Macaca fascicularis: one gene and its partners. The protein of the gene in region 3 interacts with the protein of the main gene of each other region in a pairwise test. Links are inferred from orthologs where the notes say so. Each region holds a gene or a part of one and is shown on either strand. Other genes may lie near its edges. The genes, in order: AFAP1L1, EEF1A1, GADD45G, LRIF1, TSNAX and ARPC5L.

Region 1 (3,500 bases), on a different chromosome or scaffold from region 3:
TCTGTCTTAGCTTTCTCCTCTGAAAATGTACCCACCCAAAGAGTTCTTATGAAAATCACCTCAGTTAATACACATAAAGCGTTTAGTACACTGCAGGGCATGCAGTCACAGTCTATAAATACAAGCCTTGATTACATCATGCAAGGCCCGTGTCTGTGGGTCTTAACCCTTCCCCTCGACTGGAATGTCCTTAAGGGGAGGACCTGGGTCCAAGGCCCTTTGTTACCCACAGTACCTGGCAATGTGTAGGTACTGGGACATATTTGCCAACAGCCTGACCAACTGGCTAATGCCTGCTTCTCTCATGTTCCAGACAGGCACCCTCCTTCTCTTTCTTCTTTCTCTCTCTCTTTTCTTTCTTTTTTTCTGAGACAGGGTCTCACTCTGTTGCCCAGGCTGGAGTGCAGTGGCGCAATCATGGCTCACTGCAGCCTCCACCTGCCAGGCTCAAGCAATTCTCCTAGCTTAGCCTCCTGAGTAGTGGGGACTACAGGCATGTGCCACCACACCACTACAGGCATGTGCCACCACACCAAAAATTATAAGTTTTGTAATTTTTGTGTTTTAGAGATGAGGTCTCACTATGTTGTCCAGGCTGGTCTTGAACTCCTGGGCTCAAGTGATGTGCCCGCCTTGGCCTCCCAAAGTGCTGGGATTATATACCCTCCTTTTCTAGTTGACAAATTTCAACTTATTTTTCATGGCACGATTGCAACGTGACCTCCTCCTGTCCTGGCAGGTGCGTCACTCCCTCCTCTGGTTTGTGTTGCACTTTGGGCACAGGCACTCGTTTGTTCATGCATTCATGAATTCAGGAGACATTTATTAAGCACCTACTGTTGTGCCAGCTCTGTGCTGGTCACCTACAGTTTGGCAGTTGCCCGGCTTTTCCCCCAGCCAGTGAGTTCCCCTGGGGTTGAGCCTGTGTTGAGTGGCCACTGCCTGGCCCGGGGAAGACCTAGTGGAGACAGATATACCTTGTCCGGGTCCAACTTGCACAGGAGGACTGGGGATCTGGGCACCTCCACTCCCTCAGCTCCCCCAACTGGCTTGCTCACTTCTCGGATGACCTGTGAAGAGGACACACGGCTGTGAACGGGTGGGCAGGGAAGCTGTCGATGCAAAGGAAGAATGGGGTCTGTGTGGTGAATGCTGTAGAACAGAGGGTCAGGGCCACTGTGGGGAAGCGATGGGCTGACATAGCCACCTGCACATGCATGGGGCACACTGGGGTTTGTAAAGTGTTTCTCCCATATCTGTCCCCTGGGTTGAAAAGATACAAGGATGGGGACCAAGAGGCTTATTGCTAATTAGTTGTGTGGTCTTGGAAGAGCCACTTCCCTGCTCTGGGTCTCAGTGTCCACATCTGCAACATGGGAATGATACTAGTCCTCTGCTTTCCTCCTTGGGTTGCCTGAGGACAGTGGGACCACAGATGTGAAGAGTGATGGGAACCATAAAGCCTCACAAGCGTGAGGGACCTGCTTCTGTGACCACGCGCACCTTTACAGCAACCTGTAGGGCAGCTGGAGTTATCACCTCTATCTCCTAAAGGCATCCACTCACTTGCCAAGGCCACGCAGCAATAAGCATGAGATCAGGAAATAATCACAGCCACCATTTGTTGCTCACCTATCTGGTGGCTTTCTGTGGATTATCCCATTTTATCCCTCAGCAGCCTTGTGACCCCTGAGTTACAGCTTAAGATGACAAGCCTTGCAGAGGGGAAGCCACCTGTTAGGGGCAGCAGAGCCAGAAACTAAATGCAGGCAGTTCAGCTGCCCACTGTTAACCTCTGGGCTAACTGCCGCCCGGGATCAATGTCAAGGCAGGTCTCTTTTAACTCCAGTCTAGGGCTCCGTCTGCCGACCCCACCAGTCCATGGAGGGGTACAGACTCCCCCAGCAGGCAGGTTCTCCCCTTCCTTCCCTCCTGAGACAAAGAGGTAATGGGAAACACCAAATGTTCCATCAGGGGGGCTGGTTATCACAGGAAGGAAGGGGCTGGGTAGGGAGGGAGGTGTTTGGTTTCATTGTTCCAGCAGGAAGATCAGAGGAGGAAAGGACGGTGTCAGAGTGAAGTAGAGGCGGTGCAGGGATGGGGGTCTGCTGTAAAGGAATGGGGGGTGGGGCATCGCAGTCATCATGGCAGTAATTACTGACAGTTGCCACACACTCACTGCCTGGCAGGCACTGTGCCGAGTGCTCTCCAGAATCCTTCCAAGGACCATTTCACAGATGAAAAAAACAGGCACAGAGGGGCAAAGTCATTTGCTGAAGGTCACACAACCAGTAAGTGCCCCTTAGGCCTGGGGCTTGACTCAAGTGTGGGTGCCACAAAGTCCCCTCTCCCATGTCATCACTATGTCATCCTGCCTATGGCCTTTGGAGGAGACTTACTTCTTAGCTTCAAATTCTGGCTCCAATCACTTTGGTTGTGTGACCTTTGGCAAGTCACATAAGTTCTCAAAGCTGCGTCTTAGTTTCCTCATCTGTGAAAAGGGAACAATAATATTTTGTCCCATTTTCAAGCAGAAATGAGGTCATGTATGTAAAGCTCTTGGCACAATGCATGGCACAAAGTAAGTGCTCATTTTTTGGTAATTCTCATTGTTCCGTGTAGCTGTAGAGGCAGAAGCTGGCCCATGGGTGGTCATTACAAGGATGTACGTTTCAAGGCAAGGAAGGATTTTTCCTTTATTGTTGTTGTTGTTTTAAGAATTCACTGGTCTAATGATGAAATCAGCTTCCTTTGTAGACACTAAGCTTCCAGTTCCAGGAGGTATACAAGTGCAGCCTGAACAAGCCCACAGTAAGGATTTGGAAAGGGAATTCAAATAACTAGAAGGAACATAGGTCTCCAGCATGAAGTCTGCCTCCTGGAGACATCTGAGGCCCATTTCCATACATAAACCCTAGCCACACACAGGGCATTTGGGCTCAGGCACTGAGCAAGAGGCTCTTCCGGGGACAGGAGCCAGCTCTACTGAGGGCTGGCTTGGGGAAGAGAGAAAGGGTGGGAAGGTGGGAAGGTCAGGTGCAGGCCACGCACCTTCAGCCACTCCTCGGCCTGCTCTCGGCTCTGCAGTGACAGCACCAAGACCTCGGTAGCCCCCTGGGTGAAACGTAGCTCATGCCTCTTGTGCCGGCTGTCCTTGGGCACGTAGATGACGCTGCAGGTATCCAGTGCCAACCTCAGATGCGGCTGCCGGTCCTTGGAGCTTTTATAACACTGGACAGGGAGAGAAAGGCATCAGGATCTTCTGAAGTAGAGGGTAGAGGAGAAAGACATCCTCACACAAAGGCTCGGGGGAGGCCCGACCTCCCTTTAGAGGCCTCCCCCACCCTAGCCATGGGCACTGTGCGAGGATAGCTAAAGGGTCCAGGCCGTCCACCCTGGAAGAGAAGCCTGGGAGGAGGCATCTTTGGGCAATTTTCAGTCACAACTACCTATTTGGGAAGAGGCAGACTGTAGCATAATCCTAGGAAGACCAGGTTACC
Region 2 (3,869 bases), on a different chromosome or scaffold from region 3:
GGGTGGGAGAGGTCGAGGCCTTGCACTTAAGGAGTCCCTTCGCCTCGTGCTTGAGTCGAGGCCTGGCTTGGGCTCTGGGGCTGCCGCGTGCGAATCTGGTAGCACCTTCGCGCCTGCCCCGCTGCTTTCACTAAGTTTCTAGCCATTTAAAATTTTTGATGACCAGCTGCAACGCCTTTTTTCTGGCGAGATAATCTTATAAATGCGGACCAGGATCTGCACACTGATATTGGGGTTTTGGGGGCCGCGGGCTGCGACGGGGCTCGTGCGTCCCAGCGCACATGTTCGGCGAGGCGGGGCCTGCGAGCGCGGCCACCGAGAGTCGGACGGGGGGAGTCTCAAGCTGGCCGTCCTGCTCTGGTGCCGGGCCTCGCGCGGCGGTGTGTCGCCCCGCCCTGGTCGGCAAGCCTGGCCCGGTCGGCACCAGTTGCGTGAGCGGAAAGATGGCCGCTTCCCGGCCCTGCCGCAGGGAGCTCAAAATGGAGGACGCGGCGCCCGGGAGAGCGGGCGGGTGAGTCACCCACACAAAGGAAAAGGGCCTTTCCCTCCTCGGTCGCCGCTTCATGTGACCCCACGGAGTACCGGGCGCCGTCCAGGCACCTCGATTAGTTCTCCGAGCTTTTGGAGTACGTCTTCCTTAGGTTTGGGGGAGGGGTTTTGTGCGGTGGAGTTTCCCCACACTTGGTGGGTGGAGACTGAAGAGTTAGGCCAGCTTGGCGCTCGATGTAATTCTCCTTGGAATTTGCCCTTTTCGAATTTGGATCTTGGCTTATTCTCAAGCTTCAGACAGTGGTTCAAAGTTTTTTTCTCCCATTTCAGGTGTCGTGAAAACTACCCCTAAAAGCCAAAATGGGAAAGGAAAAGACTCATATCAACATTGTCGTCATTGGACACGTAGATTCGGGCAAGTCCACCACTACTGGCCATCTGATCTACAAATGCGGTGGCATCGACAAAAGAACCATTGAAAAATTTGAGAAGGAGGCTGCTGAGGTATGGGAAAGATGAACTAAAATGAGTTTTACCAGCAGAATCATTAAGTGGTAGTGATTTCCCCAGAACTAGTGAGTGGTTTAGATCTGACCCTACTTATTAAAATAGTTTGCTTTTGGTTACTTCTGTAACCGTATTGCTAGTGAGTAGTTTCGATTTGGATATTAATAGTCAAGATCCTACTTTAAAAAGTTTGCTTTTTGGTTGCTTCTGTAACCCTATCTAAGTGACTAAAATCACTTAGGACTTGCAGTTGTAAAGTGGAAACTATGTGCCAATTAAGGGCTGGGGGCAAAGAAATTGAAGCTGGAGTTTGTGTGTTAGTAACCAAGTAACAACTCTTAATCCTTACAGATGGGAAAGGGCTCCTTCAAGTATGCCTGGGTCTTGGATAAACTGAAAGCTGAGCGGGAACGTGGTATCACCATTGATATCTCCTTGTGGAAATTTGAGACCAGCAAGTATTATGTGACTATCATTGATGCCCCAGGACACAGAGACTTCATCAAAAACATGATTACAGGGACATCTCAGGTTGGTGGGATTAATAATTCTAGGTTGTTTTTTTTTTTTTTTTTCCCCTGAAATGCCTGTCTTGTGCATTGGTTTTGTCCTTTGGAGAGTTGACAGGGATATGTCTTTGCTTTCTTTAAAGGCTGACTGTGCTGTCCTGATTGTTGCTGCTGGTGTTGGTGAATTTGAAGCTGGTATCTCCAAGAATGGGCAGACCCGAGAGCATGCTCTTCTGGCTTACACACTGGGTGTGAAACAACTAATTGTTGGTGTTAACAAAATGGATTCCACTGAGCCACCCTACAGCCAGAAGAGATACGAGGAAATTGTTAAGGAAGTCAGCACTTACATTAAGAAAATTGGCTACAACCCCGACACAGTAGCATTTGTGCCAATTTCTGGTTGGAATGGTGACAACATGCTGGAGCCAAGTGCTAACGTAAGTGGCTTTCAAGACCGTTGTTAAAAAGCTCTGGGAATGGCGATTTCATGCTTACACAAATTGGCATGGTTGTGTTTCAGATGCCTTGGTTCAAGGGATGGAAGGTCACCCGTAAGGATGGCAATGCCAGTGGAACCACGCTGCTTGAGGCTCTGGACTGCATCCTACCACCAACTCGTCCAACTGACAAGCCCTTGCGCCTGCCTCTCCAGGATGTCTACAAAATTGGTGGTAAGTTGGGTGTCAACAAAGTTGAATTTGAGTTGGTAGAGTACTATCTTCCTTCATAGGTATTTAGTATGCTGTAAATATTTTTAGGTATTGGTACTGTTCCTGTTGGCCGAGTGGAGACTGGTGTTCTCAAACCCGGTATGGTGGTCACCTTTGCTCCAGTCAACGTTACAACTGAAGTAAAATCTGTCGAAATGCACCATGAAGCTTTGAGTGAAGCTCTTCCTGGGGACAATGTGGGCTTCAATGTCAAGAATGTGTCTGTCAAGGATGTTCGTCGTGGCAACGTTGCTGGTGACAGCAAAAACGACCCACCAATGGAAGCAGCTGGCTTCACTGCTCAGGTAACAATTTTTAAAGTAACATGTTCCTACCTTATTGCAGAGGCTAAAGTCATTTGAGACTTTGGATTTACACTGAACGCAAATCTTTTTTTCCAAGGTGATTATCCTGAACCATCCAGGCCAAATAAGTGCTGGCTATGCCCCTGTGTTGGACTGCCACACAGCTCACATTGCATGCAAGTTTGCTGAGCTGAAGGAAAAGATTGATCGCCGTTCTGGTAAAAAACTGGAAGATGGCCCTAAATTCTTGAAGTCTGGTGATGCTGCCATTGTTGATATGGTTCCTGGCAAGCCTATGTGTGTTGAGAGCTTCTCAGACTATCCACCTTTGGGTAAGGATGATTACTTAAACGTAAATAAGTTGTGTTAAAGATGAAAAATACAACTGTGAACAGTTTTGGTAATACTACATTTTTTTTTTAATAGGTCGCTTTGCTGTTCGTGATATGAGGCAGACAGTTGCGGTGGGTGTCATCAAAGCAGTGGACAAGAAGGCTGCTGGAGCTGGCAAGGTCACCAAGTCTGCCCAGAAAGCTCAGAAGGCTAAATGAATATTATCCCTAATACCTGCCACCCCACTCTTAATCAGTGGTGGAAGAACGGTCTCAGAACTGTTTGTTTCAATTGGCCATTTAAGTTTAGTAGTAAAAGACTGGTTAATGATAACAATGCATCGTAAAACCTTCAGAAGGAAAGGAGAATGTTTTGTGGACCACTTTGGTTTTCTTTTTTGCGTGTGGCAGTTTTAAGTTATTAGTTTTTAAAATCAGTACTTTTTAATGGAAACAACTTGACCAAAAATTTGTCACAGAATTTTGAGACCCATTAAAAAAGTTTAATGAGAAACCTGTGTGTTCCTTTGGTCAACACTGAAACTTTCAAGTTTTACCTCGCTTAGGAGAAAGACATGTAATTCTGGTTTTATGAATTTGTGGAAACTTTATGAAAATGTAGTTCTCAAGTTAACACTTCTAGGTGGAGATAAGGTTGTTTTCCTCCCACGTACTTGGAAGGGGAAGGAATCTAAGCTATGGGAGGGCTGCTTTGATTTCCACATTGGAGAGAAATGCAGCATGTTACTGATGGCCTGTCACTAAGGAAGGCCAAATGCTGTAATAGAGTCCTTGTGTTGCATAGAAAGCTTAATGTAGTTAAACCAATGTTAAGTGAATCTTTGGAAACATGAAATAGTTTCCAAATTACAGGGATGTGCGTTTTAAAACAGGTTAAAATGACTGGGCAGTGGAAGTTGACTATTTCCCCTGACATAAGAAGTAAGTAGTTGCTAGTGCACACCCTATGTGAGTGGAGGGATCCATTTTAAAGTCAGTGGAGTTAGCTTTATG
Region 3 (3,313 bases):
TTGTCAGAGCATCTAAGAGGAAAAAGTCCCCAAGAGCAGAAGCAGCCTGCCACCGTCCTCAGGGACCACAAAGGGCAGGGCCTGCAGAAGGCGATGCTCATTGTGCAGGAAAGCCTGCGGCCTCAGGCAAGCTGTTCCGATAAGCAGCTGTGGGAGGGAGGGGGAGGAGGGCCGAGGGAGGGGGAGGGGAGGCAGAGGTCACTGTTATCGCCTTGGAAGGCAAGACTTCAGCTGCTGCACTGATGTCTTTTCTCAAGTATGCTCCTGTTTTGCAAGTTTAAAATCTTCCTAAAAGGAGAAAAGTAGGAGCCAGGCTCAAGTTCTACCCTAGCACTGGGCAGCATGCCCTCCCTCTGCCAGCGCGGAGGAGCCTGTCATTCTTGCCCGACAGGAAGACGGAACAGGTGCCATCAGTTCCACGGAGTTCCAGCAATCCTCTGAAACCCTGCGCACCACCTCCCCCGACACAAAGATCCCCTACCCTCAATAAAGAGCATAAGTTTGTTTCAAAAAGTTTATTGTAAAATTCAAAGCTTCAACAGCAGCATCCTTTAGAAAACGAAGCATTGCCCGGATCCGTTTTGAAAAAGCAGCGCAGTTGGCTAAGTCCTTCACGCTCCTGCAACTGTACCAAGTCCAGGGCGCCGCTCCTTCCTGCCGAGCGCAGGCTGCTGAGTCACGCCTGCCCGGCCAGTCTGTCCTTCCTGGCCCTGAGGCCAACGTCCTAGCCTAGGCCTTCCTGGGCGAGCAGCCGCTCCAGACACTTGCAGAGTCCTCAGCTCGGGCCAGCCTGGCCCTGCCGCCGCCGGGCCCCTCCTCGAGAGGCCGCGCCTCCTCACTCTCCAGGCGCCCCCCCCGCCTGCCAGTCTCCACGCCGCACTCGGGCACCCTCGGAGGGCCCCTCCACAGAGCCAGCCGCGCTCTAGGCGCCCCGGGGCGTCACCACGTCGATCAGACCAAGGTCCCCGCCGGGCTGTCACTCGGGGAGGGTGATGCTGGGCACCCAGTCGTTAACGCTGCGGCTCTCCTCGCAAAACAGGCTGAGCTTCTCCAAGGCGGGATCCTTCCAGGCGTCCTCGTTGGGGTTCTGCTGAGAGAGAGCAGGGTCAGCCTGGCTGGCCGCGGGCCGAGGCGGGAACTACACCGGGGCGGGGACCGGACGGGGCTGTACTCACCGAAATGAGGATGCAGTGCAGGTCGCCCGGCGCGCCCGCCTCCTCGCCGGCGCCCACGATAGCCGCCAGCCGCTGCACATCGCCCACGCGCACTATGTCGATGTCGTTCTCGCAGCAGAAAGCCTGGATCAGCGTAAAATGGATCTGCAGCGCGATGTCGCCCTCGTCCTCCTCATCGGCAGCCAGCACGCAGAAGGTCACATTGTCGGGGTCCCTGCGAGGGCAAGACGGGGACCAAGGTCAGAACCGGCAAACCAAGTTCTCCCGCAGCCACCCCTCCCATCCGCCGGTCTCTTCGCCATTCATCCCCGCCCCTGTCTCCCAGCCTGGGTCGCGTCTACACTTACACGTTCAGGACTTTGGCTGACTCGTAGACGCCGGCAGTGAGGCAGCCCTGACGCTGCGCGGACAGCAGCAACTCGTGCAGCGCTTTCCCGGCACCCTGCATCCTGCGGAGGAGCCAGCTAGTGAGCGGGAGACGGCCGTGGGGCGCGGTGGAGCCCCGAGCCCCGGCCACGGGGATTCACCCTTGGCTCTCCAACTCCAACCACACTCCAATCCCGGCTTGGCGCCCGCACCCCGGCTCTCCAACCCGGATCTGACGCCCGCACCCCCGGGCTCGGCTCCTATCCCGCGGATTCCCACCCTGGAGAACCCTGACGGTCGCCGACTGACCAGCCGCTTTCTCAGCGCCCTGAAACCCACCTGTCTGTGCTTTCCGGAACTGTGTCCTGGCCGCGGACTTCTTCCAGAGTCATAGTGCGATCAAACAACAGCAAGTTATCCACAAGCGGAGAGCGCGGAGGGGACGCGGGCGAACACCCTGAGACCAAGAGCTCAGCACGGCGCGCCCACCACCAGCGAGTGCGCCCGGGCTACGCTGCGCGTCCTTATATAGGCTGATGGGTGCGGCGCCGCCAGCTGGCGCGAGGCTGCCCGCCTATTGGCCGGCACCCGCTTTCTGATGTAAATGAGACCGCGAGCCCGCGGCTCGTGCCAGAAGGCCACGTGGGGAGGGGTGCGGGGGATGACAATGCCTCAAATCTGCCGCTTTTGTTGGGGTGTTACCAGGCAGACTGGAGCCTGCAGATTTCATCTCGCCTGGCTTTCTTTTTTTTTTTTTTTTTTTTTTTTTTTGAAGTCCTTAAAAGGAAAAAGTAAAAAAAAAAAAAAAAAAAAAAAAAAAGCCAATCCACAAAAACCTTGTTTGCTAATATGATGCTGCAATTTGCGAAAAGCACCTTTATAGAATCAAAAGGAATTTTATTTCCATTTTTTATTGCTACCTTTCTATTTGTTTCTTTTCTTTAATTTGAAGTTTATGAGACTGTTGCATTGGAGCAGGAAATTAAGGTAAAAACAGGTAACGCCAGTTAAAGGCTTGCAAAAGGCAGTGGGCACAGCCCCCTGCAGCTGACCACTAGCGTCCGGAGCGCGCTGGTAATGCCTGCCAGGCATACTCAATGTGTACATTGAGTAGTCGCTGGAAGATCCTACCCCACCTCCCCGCCCTTGGCCGAGAGCAGCGGGGCGCCGGAGAAGGGGGCGGGCAGGGGCGAGCAGATTGCTGCCGGCGCACGCCGCTCGTTTGCATTTCTATGGAGGGCGCACAATAGCAGAGGTCTGGCGTGTGGCGGTTTGCAGTAGGGACAATCGAGGCTTTCTCTTCATAGCAACACTGTCCACCTGCCGCCGGGTGGGGTGGGCAGGCCCCCGCCGCGCGTGGGGGTCGCCGGGCTGCCTGGCGCGTGGGGTCGAGGCTGAGTGCCACTCCGTGGTCCCTGAGTACGCGCCGCCTGTACTGGCCCTGCTACATGTAATTCCCTTCCACCCGTTCCTCGCACGGGTGCCGAGCAGCCTCGCGAGTTGGGAAGCACAGAGAGCTGCTGCGCAGTCTTCGCGACTGGACGCCCTCTGGCCGGGACCCCGCGGCTGCGGCCCTTGGAGCTTAGGGGATGTAGTTCGGTATCTGTTTCCCGGGGCGCCATCTACAGGCAGGTTAAAAAGATCCTGAATCCCTTTTCTCCTCCCCTCCCCCAACACACACACCCTTGCATTGGCCTGGTGCGGGGGAAGGGCGGTGGAGGGGGTCGGCCACGGAGCTGTCCGGCCGGGCCCACTGAGCCCTGTCCAAGCTG
Region 4 (4,011 bases), on a different chromosome or scaffold from region 3:
ACGTTTCCCAACTCAGCTGTTCTTGGAATCTTTCCTCCAACTCCCTTCCTCTACTCTTTTCCTTTACTACATCAACTCTATCTTCCTCCTCCTCCACCATGACTGTAAGGTTTTCCCTGGAAACAGCCCATATGCTTTTATTTAATCAGTCTTCCCATTTAGCACAGTCTACCACATACGTAGTAGGTACTAAATGAATGTTTTGTCATCAAATGTTTAAACTGTATTGATAGTAAGTGGTAAGCTAGGATATGAACCCAAGTCTCTATGACTTAAAGGTTCTTTCCACTATAGCATTCTGACTCCTACTTTGTTCTTTGACAGTAAAACCCAAATCAACATAAATTAAATGCATAGTATCACAAATATCTTCCAGATTTTTCCTTTGTACTCTAAGATTAAATTTGGATTTTACATTTTATGCGCTGATGAATTAGAGATACTTCAAACAATATATAACCATATACAATTCTGTATTATGCCACTGAAAAATTTTTAGTAAGCGGTAACTTAGGAAAAAATTAAGCTACAAATAAGAAGAAAATCATAGTCACTTAAGTTATAAAAATAAACATTTAGTACCATCAAAGATGTTACCAGAAAAATAAGAAAACTAAGCTTCCAATAAACTAAAAGGGCTGATGTTAATATTATTTACAAAATTATATTTGGATGTTTTGTTACTTAAAAACAATGGAATCAAATATGCAACCATTAACCAAAGTAAATGTCGAAGCTTCTGAAAGTCATCTGGTAAATGTCCCAAATATATGATGTAAAACCTCAATGATTTAAATAAATACATTCAACGATAATAAAAACAACGTATAAATCAATGAGTTAATGAACTCAAAATGACATATGAATGTAATTGTAATTTAAAAATCTCCAAATCCCCAAAAGGATTAGAAATTGGATAACAGAGTTAAGGGTGTACACACACACACACACACACACACACACACACACACACAGTTGTTTATCTTACTTTTTGTATTTAAAAATGCAATCGTAAAACAAATTTTCTATAAATTAAGCTAAGTCAGAAGTCATTATTCAGGTACTAAAATAAGGCAGCAGAAATTAATCATTAAAAAGTAATTCTACATTTTAATATCTACACAGGGCACTCTCTGCCCCTTCCCCCAAACTTCCACCACAAAATTAAAAAAAAAAAAGAAAGAAAAGAAAAAAACACACAAGTATACCAAAATGCCTCTTTATGATTTGAAATACAATGGTTCTATCTTGACAGTTCTTCAATAGAATTTTGGCTCATTACTATTAGTGACCATTTCCTTTTATAATACTGCTTTTAAGGAACAAACATTACTTTCGGTCTTTATTGCAATCAAGTTTTCTATTTGTAATTAAACAAAACTACTTCCTGGGCTAAAATCTGTGCAGAATTAAAGTTGTATGCTTATAATAGTAACAGCTAACATTTAAATTGTGCTTTACTATTTTCCCACATGACGTATTTTACATTATTTCATTCTCCTAATATTTAAAATATTTCTAAGTGCTATTATTTACAGACTGGAAACAGGTACCTGGCCTCACAAATGCTAACTAGCAAAGTTGAGATTAACCCCAGGTAGCCTGATTTTCTTCAAACGAAAATCCTCTTCGGCCAGTTTTGCATCTTAGTTCTTCATTTTCTTATTAGAGTCTGCAGACTCTATTTTTTCCTCATCACTTAATCTACTAACCATGTGGGAGTACAAGTGAAAACATTCTGCTTTAGCTGACATTCTGTTTCCGATTCATGTCCTCTTAATACAATTAAAAAAACAAAACTAAACTAAAATACTGATCATCTATTTTCTAACTTTACAAGAATATCTTCCTTAGAAATACTGGACTCTCCTCATGCCAAATATAAATAGCCAATGAAACGGCACTTCATTACAACCCAAAACGCTGGTCAAAAGGATTGACTTTACACGAGGATTTCTCCATTCTTACTTCTCTCTCTTCACATAAAGCTATTACTTGAAATTTTAAATATTCAATCTCCTTGTTCTAAAGCCATTTTTCTTCAATCACACACCCTTTCTGTCTCACTATTAAAATGTAACTATTTTCACTGAAGGTCCAGCGCCACCAGGGCTGCACTTCCTAATCCGTGATGGCTGCTGCGTTTCTGCGTGTGTCTGAGAATCTTCCAGAAGGTTTGAGTCACATAAGAGCGTCGGCCATCTTGGTTTTCATCTCCCGTGGAGATCTACTCCGTCCGCCTATTAAACTTGAGACGCTGGAGTCCCGCGGAGCCGGGGAGGGGCTGTGTCTGGCTCTAAAGAGGTTTTACATTTCCCAGAGGAAGGCGCTCTATGGGCTTTAAGCGCCCTGGTGACGAGCGCTTCCCGTCTGAGTGGCGCACTCTGCGGGCTCCAACTCCTCTCAAACTACACAGCGTCCGGAAACGACGGCCGACTCCACATCCCAAAGACGGACAGGGGGGCAGGCGTGGGAAGGATTCGAAACCGGTACTTACCAACGCGAGGCGCTGCCTGAATTTTCCTCTGCGGGTTTCAGGAAGACCCTCCGTAGGTTATTTGACATTTTAGTGGGGAGAAAGGGGACACCTCAGCCAAGAAAGTGGGAAGCGTGGGGCCGAGTTTCTCAATGGGGCGAGAACCAAAGCGAGGGAATGTTGGGCTGCAGTTGCCCGCAGCAACTGTGAGGGGTTCGACCTTAACGGAGGGCGACAGCGGGCTCTCCAGAGGGTGTATCCCCAAGCTTCGGAGCGAGGTCGCGCAGCCACCCAGAAACCGGAAGGCTCTTGGCGGTGGACTGCGCCCTCAGCCCTACGCTCAGAGAGAATCGGCGTGCGTCTCCGCCCCCAGAGCCTACGACAACGCTCCAGACCCCGCCGGAGCAGGCGCAGGGGGCGTGGTCTTGGTGGCACCGCCCCCAACGGGGCCTGGTCAGTGCTGAAGACTGCGTCAGACCGGCTCTGCTGCCCCGCCCACTGAAGCCGATAGCTGGAGAAAAGCTCGGTCGGGCGTCTTCCGGGGTCGTCACGTCCGTTTGCCAAGGTGACTGGCTCGCTAAAGCCCAACCCTTATGATTCAATCCAATGGCAAGTGATATTTGCTATCTTTTCTTCCGGATCAAGGAACAAATCGCAAAAGAAAGCGCTCCCGACACCTACGCAAAATAAAATGTTTCCGGGGTCAATCTTAAATTTTCTGCTTCTGTGCTCGCCGCTAGTTTGTTTTTCTCTCCCGTCAGTGCATTAAAAGACATCGGCGGGCTTTTTTGGAATCATGCACTTGTGGCTTGAGAAAACTTCAAACGCCTGCCTGTGTCCAGCGATTTTTGTTGCTGCTTCTCTGAAGGTTTCCCATTTACTCCTCTTTCCTGAAGCTTTGCCTCTATACTTAGGTAACGCTTTCCTCCAGCCCACGTTCATCGAAACTATCACTTATTGTCATAGACCTCCGTTTCTGAAGGGAGATCTTGGAGTTGCATCAGAACATCCATTGTATTCATTCAGTCATTTATTCAGCTGTCCATTGCAGTTGATGGTCTTTATCTCACACTACTTCAAAATTTTTCCTCTCAGCACTATTAATTATTCCCTCATCTTGACGCCATTGGCAATATACTTTCCTGGTTTTGCTCCTACTTTTTTGTCTACAACTTCTCAGTCTCTTTTGAAGATCTCTCCCTTTTCAAGGGAGTTCCTTACCTCTTGATAACTGATTCTCTTAATGTTTTCAAACTGTCTTGTCTCAATTACTGGTTTTATTCATACTCCTGGCTTGAATTACCACATCCACCCATTATTTTACCAGTAAACACATATGTGTCCTTGGCACTGATTTAAGTGTTTTACAAAAGTAATTTACTCCTAACAACTAATAAAAGAATGATTATATGCACATGAAGAAACGGATGCTCAGAGAGGGTGAACAAGTTTTTAGAGGTCATAGAGCTTGTGAGTGATGGAGCCAGGCTCCAAATCCAGGTTGTCTGGCCAAACACACCATGTACTTTACTACT
Region 5 (3,500 bases), on a different chromosome or scaffold from region 3:
TATTTCAAAACTTCATTATAATTATTTAAATGTAAATGCTAGACTTAAATTATTTAAATTTAAATGCTAGATTTAAATTATTTAATTTTAATAAAATTTAAATTTAAATGCTAGAATAGGAAAGCCTCCAAACATGCCTAATATAACAAAAACAAAAATTGCTAAATAATCACTACTAAAAGCATTTCCATTGTATGTACAAGCATATAGTTCAACTTAACTTTACCAACAAAAATATAATTCAGCTCCAATTCTCTATCAGACCTTCTGTGATAAAAAACAAAAAAATAAATGGAGAAAGTAACATCTGGGCACCTGTCAAATTTTTATGGAAGGTTGTTTTGTATAAATTTTAAATGGCCTAAAATCAGACAGAATGTGAATTTTTCACTATAATACTTTATAAACTTGTACTTTTTTTTTTTTTTTTTGGATGGAGTCTTGCTCTGTTGCCCAGGTTGGAGTGCAGTGGCACAATTTCGGCTCACTGCAACCTCTGCCTACTGGGTTCAAGCGATTCTCCTGCCTCAGCCTGCCAAGTAGCTGGGATTACAGGCACATGCCACCATGCCCAGCTAATTTTTGTATTTTTAGTAGAGACGGGGTTTCACCATGTTGGTCAGGCTGGTCGCGAAATCCTGACCTCGTGATCTGCCTGCCTTGGCCTCCCAAAGTGCTGGGATTATAGGCGTGAGCCACCACGCCCAGCCTAAACTTGTATTTAAATTATATATTGATAGCTTATTCATTTTTAATTCTTGTTCCATGGAATAAACCTATTTTTGAGGCTTGGCACAATATTAACAAGAAATTTAAATAGGAAGCTCAAGTCCAGAAGTTTAACTAAAAAATCTTTTCTATATATAATAAAATCACCAACTTAAATTACAAATTGCTTCCACTAAAAATTATCACTCCAAACTTCAGAAAAAGTAAATTAAGACAGGTTATGGCAAAAAGTGCACTGTGAAACAGGTTCACATTACAAAGATAAATGATAAAGGTTAACCAGCAAAAATTCAAAAAGGCATATATGCAAACATCTGTATGCAAACTTTCATGAATAAGATATAAGAAATGATTCATTTCGCTAATTTTATGTACAGCTTGTATACAATTTAAAACAAGTACAACTGAATATGTTTCTATGTAAAAGCCACAATAAAGTTAAATGAAATACTAAATAAGTCTTACAAATTGGTCTCTTAGGAGTTCTCAAAAGAATTAGTAACTGAGTAATGTTATTCTAAGAAATACCCTCTTCTTGATCTATCATTTCTGTTTTAACTGAAAACACATCTGCCAACATATGTTTTGGAATTTCTGACCCTCTGACTTTCAAGGCATAACAAGCATTCTCCACTTTGGCCAAACTTTGTTTCAAGGTATACAGCTTCTTAGAGACCTCGTAAGGTCCAGTGTTGCCAATGAATGAAAACCCATCATAAACCTGACGTAAAAACTGGCTCACTTCAAAGGGGGTGTCAATGTCCCCATTCCCCACACTGTTAATACACATCCGCATCAATTCTCCAGTTAAGTCAGCCACTCCCAGAAGGTAATCGACAGGTGTGACTCTCAGTCTCCAAGTACCAAACTGCTCATCCTGTGTATCAGAAGAAGGCTGGTTTAAAAAAAAAAACAAAAGACTGTGAAAAAGAGTGAATATAGCATGTATCACATTTATTATAGAAGTACAAAATCAATAGCAAATCAGTCATACTAATTTTTTCTAAATAAAATAAATCTATTTTGCTTAATAACCATTTGGGATGTTACAGGAGGAATCTGTGCCCTGGGTAGTGAATTGAACCATATGCCTTCAAGATGCTTTTGAAATGTATCATTATGAAACCAACTATTTCCAACTCCACTTGACGTACAAAATAAAAATATTCTTAAACAAGGCTTAATAACTTTATTGCAGGACAATTACTTACTTAAATGGAAAATCATACGGCCCTCCAAGTTTGTGATCCATTAATGTTTTTCTAAGTTGCTCAGTCTTTTTCTGGCCTCTTGCCTTTCCCTACTCAGCACTGACCATCACAATTTATTATTCTCTCACTGCATCCTCAATTCCCTTAGACTGCTGTATTTTCTACTGCACCTACCCAGCAAAAACAGAATCCTCAATCAACACTAAAATCTACTCATTAGTCCTTTATTCAGGTGGCTGAGTACCACTCACCAAGTTAAAAAATGGTAATCACAACTGCAGAGTTTTTACCACTACAAATTACTCTCCAATCCTTTTACTTATCATTAGATGGTTCTCTCTCCAGCCTCTTCAAACACGATTTCAAACCTTTCACCCTCAGTGCTCTACTCAAATCCCAAACCTCTTCACTTTCAGTAGACAAGCTTGCGCAACTTCACTGACCTGGTCTCATTTGCCAGCTTACCTAGCACAATTTCTCGCAACTGCCTTCATCCCTACCAAAAAAAAAATATTTATATCCACAGCCATCTTTACCTTCTATCCTCCAGTCTCAGATGATGAGTTGTCCCTCCTCTTGTTTGAGGTTAACTCTTCCAAATGACCTTGACCCATCTCCTCCCACCTCTTCCAGGACCTTGCTTCATAAGGTGTATGCCCTTGGGCAAGTTATTTCATCTCTCTAAACCTCAGTTTCCTCATCTGTAAAATGGGATAACAGTACCTACCTCAGAGGTTTATTTTAAGGATTAAATGAGATAACATTTACCAAGTTCTTGGCATAATGCCCAACACAAAGTAAATATTCAACAAATGCTAGCTGCTATCATGATTACTATCATCATGAAATCTCTCTCCACATCAATTTCCCTCTATTGAATTCTTTCTGGCAGAGACAATGCCTAAATTGCTATTAAAAGACTGTATGTATAAAAGGGTAGTTGAAGTTTCAGTTACATCAAAGGACATTTTAGGTAGTGGGAACTACAAAGGTGTGCAGGTAAGAATTGTGCATTTGAGGAACTAATAATTCTTTTGATTCAAGTTTAAAGGAAGTTACATAAATGCAAGCTGAGAAGAGGGAGATAGCTTTCTTAAGATCACTCTTTGCTATGTATCTAATATATGACTCCTAACACTGAACTCTGCAGAGACCATCTGGTGCAACGTCCTCATCGTTTAGCATAAGAAATCAGGCCAGAGAAACATCACAGGTAATATGATGTTGAGCTATGGGAATATGATGTTGAGCTATGGGAATATGATAGCTAGTTAGTGGCACTATTGTTTCCAATCTATTTTTCTGCACATTTGAAATTTTTTCACAAAAAGTTTTTTAAATAAAGATTACATAGTTTTGACAATATTCTCAACAGGCAAGTAAGAGCAAAATACCTTTCCCAATCAAATTCCCAGAATTTTCAGCACCACGCATCTTTAGCACTAAAACTTATTTATGAACATAGTCTTAATTTGAAACGTGTGTATGAACATTATAGCCCCATAATCTTAAAATAATCTAGTACCTAAGTCCTGAAAACAGTACTCTGACTCTCAATTT
Region 6 (4,200 bases), about 100 Mb from region 3:
ATCACCTGTCATTCATGAAGCCGGCTGTCATACTTGGCTGGCTTTAGACCTTTTCAGAGAATAGGCTGTGGTGCTGGGGGAACCCTGCCCAGCCCTTGATCTCTAGATCTTCCTCAATCACGGCACAACTGACACTGTGGACCCACGATTCTCTGACGTGGGATCTCAGCTGTGGGTCATAGGCCTCTGCCCACTGGATTCCAGTGGCATCCCCAAGCTGTAACTATCAAAATGTTTCTAATTTCCTGAGGTGGAGGGGAGGGGTGCAAAATCGCTCAAAACCACTGCTCTGGCCAGAGCCCTGATCCAGAAGTCTAGAAGCTGCTTCACTGAGGGGAAAGGAACTCATACTTTTAAATCGCCACAAGGTCTCGGATCCTGTGCCTGGTGCTTTCACATGCCATCTCATTCCAAAAATCCCAGTAACAACAATCATTATCTCATTTGAAAGGCAATGGAATTGAGGCTCAGAGAACGGAAATTACCTGCACAGGGTCACAAAACTAAGCTGTCTAGATGGCCCTGGCACCCAAGCTCCTCCCACAATCCCGTGCTGCCGCTCTAGCTGCAGACCTGAGCAGACACTTGCTGTGTGCCCCCTGATGCTGATGTTAGCCCATGAGGCTCCCACAGAACCTAGGAAGCCAGCACGGCTGTCTGCCACGTCACAGAGGAGAATGCTGAGTTGTGAGAGGGTATGTGACCTATCCGAGGTCAGAGCCAGAGCATGATGGCGCGCGGTGTGCGAAGATGCACAGCCGAGTTCCTTCTACCCCATCTGCGTGATCTCCCGCCACACACACTTCCCTATATAGCCCCAGGACAGGGTCCCTCTCTGCCCTCCCCAACCCCAATCCCTCTATCCCTCTCCCTGCTCCCCTGTCCTCAATGGTCTAAGTCCAATTCTTGGCACATGATAGAGACCCAATAAATATCAGTTCCATTCTCCTCCCTACCTGGGTCCGGTATTTGCCAGGGTTTCAGTTCTCTTTATCCGCTAACCTCCCTTTCCCCAACCCCAGGTGGAACACTCTCCATGGTAACAAGGTTTCTGCCGCTGCCATGAATGGAGAAACGACCATCCCCGGGATGTGCTAAACCCAGGCCTCTAAGCAGCCTCAAGGAACCTGTCACCAGGCAGGGGAGTCCCAAGACATGACCTTCAACAAGGCTCTGCACCCAGACCAAGGCAGCAGCTGACAGGCCTGACCTCCTCATCTGTTCAATGAGGGTCCTGGGCCAAAGGCCTGACCTTGGAGCCCCCTTCAGCACTGACTCTCCATAAGCCAGGCCCTGCACCTGACTACAACCAACCTTCCCTCCTGGGGACCCTTCCCTTGACCCCATTTCATAACTAGGGTGGACTGGGGGATCCTGATGGGGCAGGAATGACAAGCTTGAATCTCCACTTCCGAAAACACATTCCTGTTCAAACCAAGTCTGAAGGTTTTCGTTTTAAAGGCACACTGAGGAGCACTGCCGGGCTCCCCCTAAAGCAGCAGGCCCCACTTTCCAAGCTGAGTCAACTGGTTCAACACCGAGAACCTGATTTATGTACAGCATGGGCCTCCAACCCTGCCCCCGCCCGTGCGGGGGGAGGGGACAGGCTTCCTGGAACACCATTTGAATAAAGAAAAATCCTTCCGGTGAGAATAAGTCAGTTTCCTGCGCTCATACTGCTAAAGGACCAAGCAAGGCTGTGACAATCACCTCTATTTTTAATCTTTTCTAAATGCTGTTTTCTGTGGCCACAAGAACAGTCATTTCCAGGCGTGGGGCTCTACTTTCACACTTCACTTCAAGGTGTCTGGTTTTTCTTAGCTCTGAACTACTAGTTCTTTCCGCTGCTTCCTGCACCAGAAGGGTACTGGGGGGAGCCAAGACTCACTTGCTGAGCGTAGCTGAGACCACCAAGGTGACCAGAGGAACCACAGGGTTTCCCTTTCTCAGCATTAAGCGGGAGGGTCAGACTGACTGGGGGAGGGGAGGCACAACCTTAGACCCCAGGGCTGAAATAGGGCGGCCGCCTCCACTCCCTCCTGGGTCCTGTCTTCCCCACAGCCGTCCACCCACCTATCTTCACGCCCTGCGGCAATCTGGCCCCGGAAGACCGCGCCCCAGCCTCACCGATCACTCGGTTACTCAGATACGGCTCACCTCCGCCCTGCCGCCGACCCAGCCCCGCCATAGGCCCGATTTCCTGCAAGGGAGGGACGGAGTGCTGGGGCCCCCAGAAAGGGACAGCGTGAGGGGACGAGGAGGCAAGAGGGGAAGAGAGCCCGGGGCGCGGGACCTGCGGGGCTACCGAGGGAGCCCGTCCACCGGGTCCAAGGGCCTGCGGGGCTGCGCTGCACAAGAAGGGGCCAGGGCTGGGGAGGAAGGACCCAGGGAGACCAGGACTCAGGGGAGCACGGCCCAGGGGAGTCAGGTCGGCAGGGAGTTGAAGGCTGACCTGAGGGGGCCGGGGGTCGGAGACAGCAGAGGCCCGCCCGAAGGGGCCCGAGAAGGTGGGAAGGCCGCGCGCAGGCCCGGACGCCGCGTCAGGAAAGGATATTGCCGCAGGAGCCCGTCCACCTCGCTCGGGTCCGGGCCTGGCTCCGCCGCCGCCGCCGCCGCCTCCTCCTGCTCGTCCACAAATTTGTTCTCATCAAATTCGTCGATGTCCACCCGGCGGAAGCGCGAGGACAGCGTGTTCCGGGCCATGGCGGGAGCTCGGCGCCCGCTCAGCCGGCTCCACTCGCGGCCCGACCTCAGCTCTGCTCCACTCGCACCGGCTCCGGCTCGGGGGCGGGAAGCGGCCACCGGGCTGCTCCCAGCACCTCCTCCACCGCCTCCGCGCGCAGCCGCCGCCGCCCGCCCACTTCCGGCACACGCCGGATCCGGAAGCGTCATCGGGGCGGGGCGGAACCTGTCCCGTGGAGTGCGGTATGGGGTTTCCGCGGCCTCAGTCTCTTTTCCGCGGAGCCTCTGTCTTACCACTGAGGAGTGGCCGCCCGGTATCCTTGCAGGCCCCGCATAGTGTGTGCCGTAATCGCGCTGGTGATCCGGCTTTCCCGCGCCTCCGAGGAACCGCTGGCCTCAGCGGGGCCCGGCGCGGGCTTCCGGGGTGATCCTTGCCTGTACGGGGGAAGACTGGGCGCCCGGGAGAAGGCTCGCGGCTCTACTTCTCGGGTGCTGGGCAGGCTTCTTGGAGAAGAAACCTTCGAGCTGATGACTGAGGGATGAGTAGGAGTTCCTGTGCCCGGGGAGTGACGCGGGAGGGGTCTGTGTCTCGGAATCTTGAACGCCGCCACACTTAGCACGAGGAGGTCGCCTTTACACAGAGGTGACCCTGTTAAAGGAGTGGGAGGCTTTAAAGACGTTTAGTGCGATCAGAGGGCTGACAAGGCGTTGAAGACATTGTGACTCGAGGGATTTTGCGGCCCCACGTGTGTAGCAGTCACCTTGACCAGGCAGTTGGGGCCCCAGGAGAGGGAGATGGCCCTGTGGCCACCGTCCTGGCAGGAGAGGCCTGGCTTGAGAGGCACATCTTGATAGAAACCAAATTCTCAGAATCTGAGATGCGGGAAAGCGGGTTAGGGAAGTCAAGGACGACTCTGAGGTGTCAGATTTGGTGCCTGGGCTGTTACCCCAGGGGTTCTGTTAATTGATCTTAGCCTTAGGGTAAGTAAAATGGGTCTTTTATATAATACTATGAAAACTGTTTTCATCTAATAGTACCCTTGTTAATAAAAGTTGGAATGTGATTCATTTTTACTGCTTCGAATACTTCTCATTGAACTGTGTCTAAAGATCAAAAAACTATTGCCAGACTATGATGCAACCTAATCTTCCGTGGTAACCAGGATACAGACTCCCATAGTGGGAAACTGGCGCTAAAGAAAAGTCTCCGCCTGTAATCCCAGCACTGCGGGAGCCGAGGCGAGCAGATCACCTGAGGTCAGAAGTTTAAGATCAACCTGAGCAAAATGCTGAAACCCCGTCTCTACTAAAAATACAAAATTAGCCGGGTGTGGTGGCGCAGGCCTGTAATCCCAGCTACTCGAGAGGCTGAGGCAGGAGAATCGCTTGAAACTGGGAGGTGGAGGTTGCAGGGAGCCGAGATCGCGCCATTGCACTCCAGCCTGAGCGACAAGAGCAAAACTCGGTCTCAAAAAAAAAAAAACAGTCTCAGGGGTCCTGGAAACACGAAAAGCCCAC

The links.
Region 1: the proteins of GADD45G (region 3) and AFAP1L1 interact in binary tests that used the Homo sapiens proteins (3 or more experiments, as listed by UniProt). The two-hybrid records come from large-scale screens. The link is inferred for Macaca fascicularis from reciprocal best matches to the Homo sapiens genes GADD45G and AFAP1L1.
Region 2: the proteins of GADD45G (region 3) and EEF1A1 interact in a two-hybrid assay, tested with the Homo sapiens proteins (2 studies listed by BioGRID and IntAct). The link is inferred for Macaca fascicularis from reciprocal best matches to the Homo sapiens genes GADD45G and EEF1A1.
Region 4: the proteins of GADD45G (region 3) and LRIF1 interact in binary tests that used the Homo sapiens proteins (3 or more experiments, as listed by UniProt). The link is inferred for Macaca fascicularis from reciprocal best matches to the Homo sapiens genes GADD45G and LRIF1.
Region 5: the proteins of GADD45G (region 3) and TSNAX interact in binary tests that used the Homo sapiens proteins (3 or more experiments, as listed by UniProt). The two-hybrid records come from large-scale screens. The link is inferred for Macaca fascicularis from reciprocal best matches to the Homo sapiens genes GADD45G and TSNAX.
Region 6: the proteins of GADD45G (region 3) and ARPC5L interact in binary tests that used the Homo sapiens proteins (3 or more experiments, as listed by UniProt). The link is inferred for Macaca fascicularis from reciprocal best matches to the Homo sapiens genes GADD45G and ARPC5L.

What each region holds. Positions count from the first base shown.
Region 1 is NC_088380.1:156,191,012-156,194,511, reverse strand, and holds part of AFAP1L1 (actin filament-associated protein 1-like 1), read right to left. Parts: intron 3,232-3,500; coding exon 3,052-3,231; intron 1,071-3,051; coding exon 978-1,070; intron 1-977. UniProt on the Homo sapiens protein: May be involved in podosome and invadosome formation.
Region 2 is NC_088378.1:101,525,493-101,529,361, forward strand, and holds the end of EEF1A1 (elongation factor 1-alpha 1), read left to right. Parts: intron 1-819; 5' UTR 820-849; coding exon 850-993; intron 994-1,347; coding exon 1,348-1,527; intron 1,528-1,648; coding exon 1,649-1,945; intron 1,946-2,028; coding exon 2,029-2,179; intron 2,180-2,266; coding exon 2,267-2,523; intron 2,524-2,620; coding exon 2,621-2,855; intron 2,856-2,949; coding exon 2,950-3,074; 3' UTR 3,075-3,369; downstream 3,370-3,869. UniProt on the Homo sapiens protein: Translation elongation factor that catalyzes the GTP-dependent binding of aminoacyl-tRNA (aa-tRNA) to the A-site of ribosomes during the elongation phase of protein synthesis.
Region 3 is NC_088389.1:119,949,110-119,952,422, reverse strand, and holds GADD45G (growth arrest and DNA damage-inducible protein GADD45 gamma), read right to left. Parts: upstream 2,044-3,313; 5' UTR 1,934-2,043; coding exon 1,881-1,933; intron 1,625-1,880; coding exon 1,523-1,624; intron 1,390-1,522; coding exon 1,176-1,389; intron 1,088-1,175; coding exon 977-1,087; 3' UTR 501-976; downstream 1-500. UniProt on the Homo sapiens protein: Involved in the regulation of growth and apoptosis. Mediates activation of stress-responsive MTK1/MEKK4 MAPKKK.
Region 4 is NC_088375.1:123,364,275-123,368,285, reverse strand, and holds the start of LRIF1 (ligand-dependent nuclear receptor-interacting factor 1), read right to left. Parts: upstream 2,801-4,011; 5' UTR 2,566-2,800; coding exon 2,498-2,565; intron 1-2,497. UniProt on the Homo sapiens protein: Together with SMCHD1, involved in chromosome X inactivation in females by promoting the compaction of heterochromatin.
Region 5 is NC_088375.1:17,518,650-17,522,149, forward strand, and holds part of TSNAX (translin-associated protein X), read right to left. Parts: intron 2,642-3,500; exon of another isoform or gene 2,477-2,641; intron 1,625-2,476; coding exon 1,247-1,624; 3' UTR 1-1,246.
Region 6 is NC_088389.1:19,195,162-19,199,361, forward strand, and holds the start of ARPC5L (actin-related protein 2/3 complex subunit 5-like protein), read right to left. Parts: upstream 2,801-4,200; 5' UTR 2,704-2,800; coding exon 2,554-2,703; coding exon of another isoform or gene 2,453-2,553; intron 2,201-2,452; coding exon of another isoform or gene 2,143-2,200; exon of another isoform or gene 67-2,142; intron 1-66. UniProt on the Homo sapiens protein: May function as component of the Arp2/3 complex which is involved in regulation of actin polymerization and together with an activating nucleation-promoting factor (NPF) mediates the formation of branched actin networks.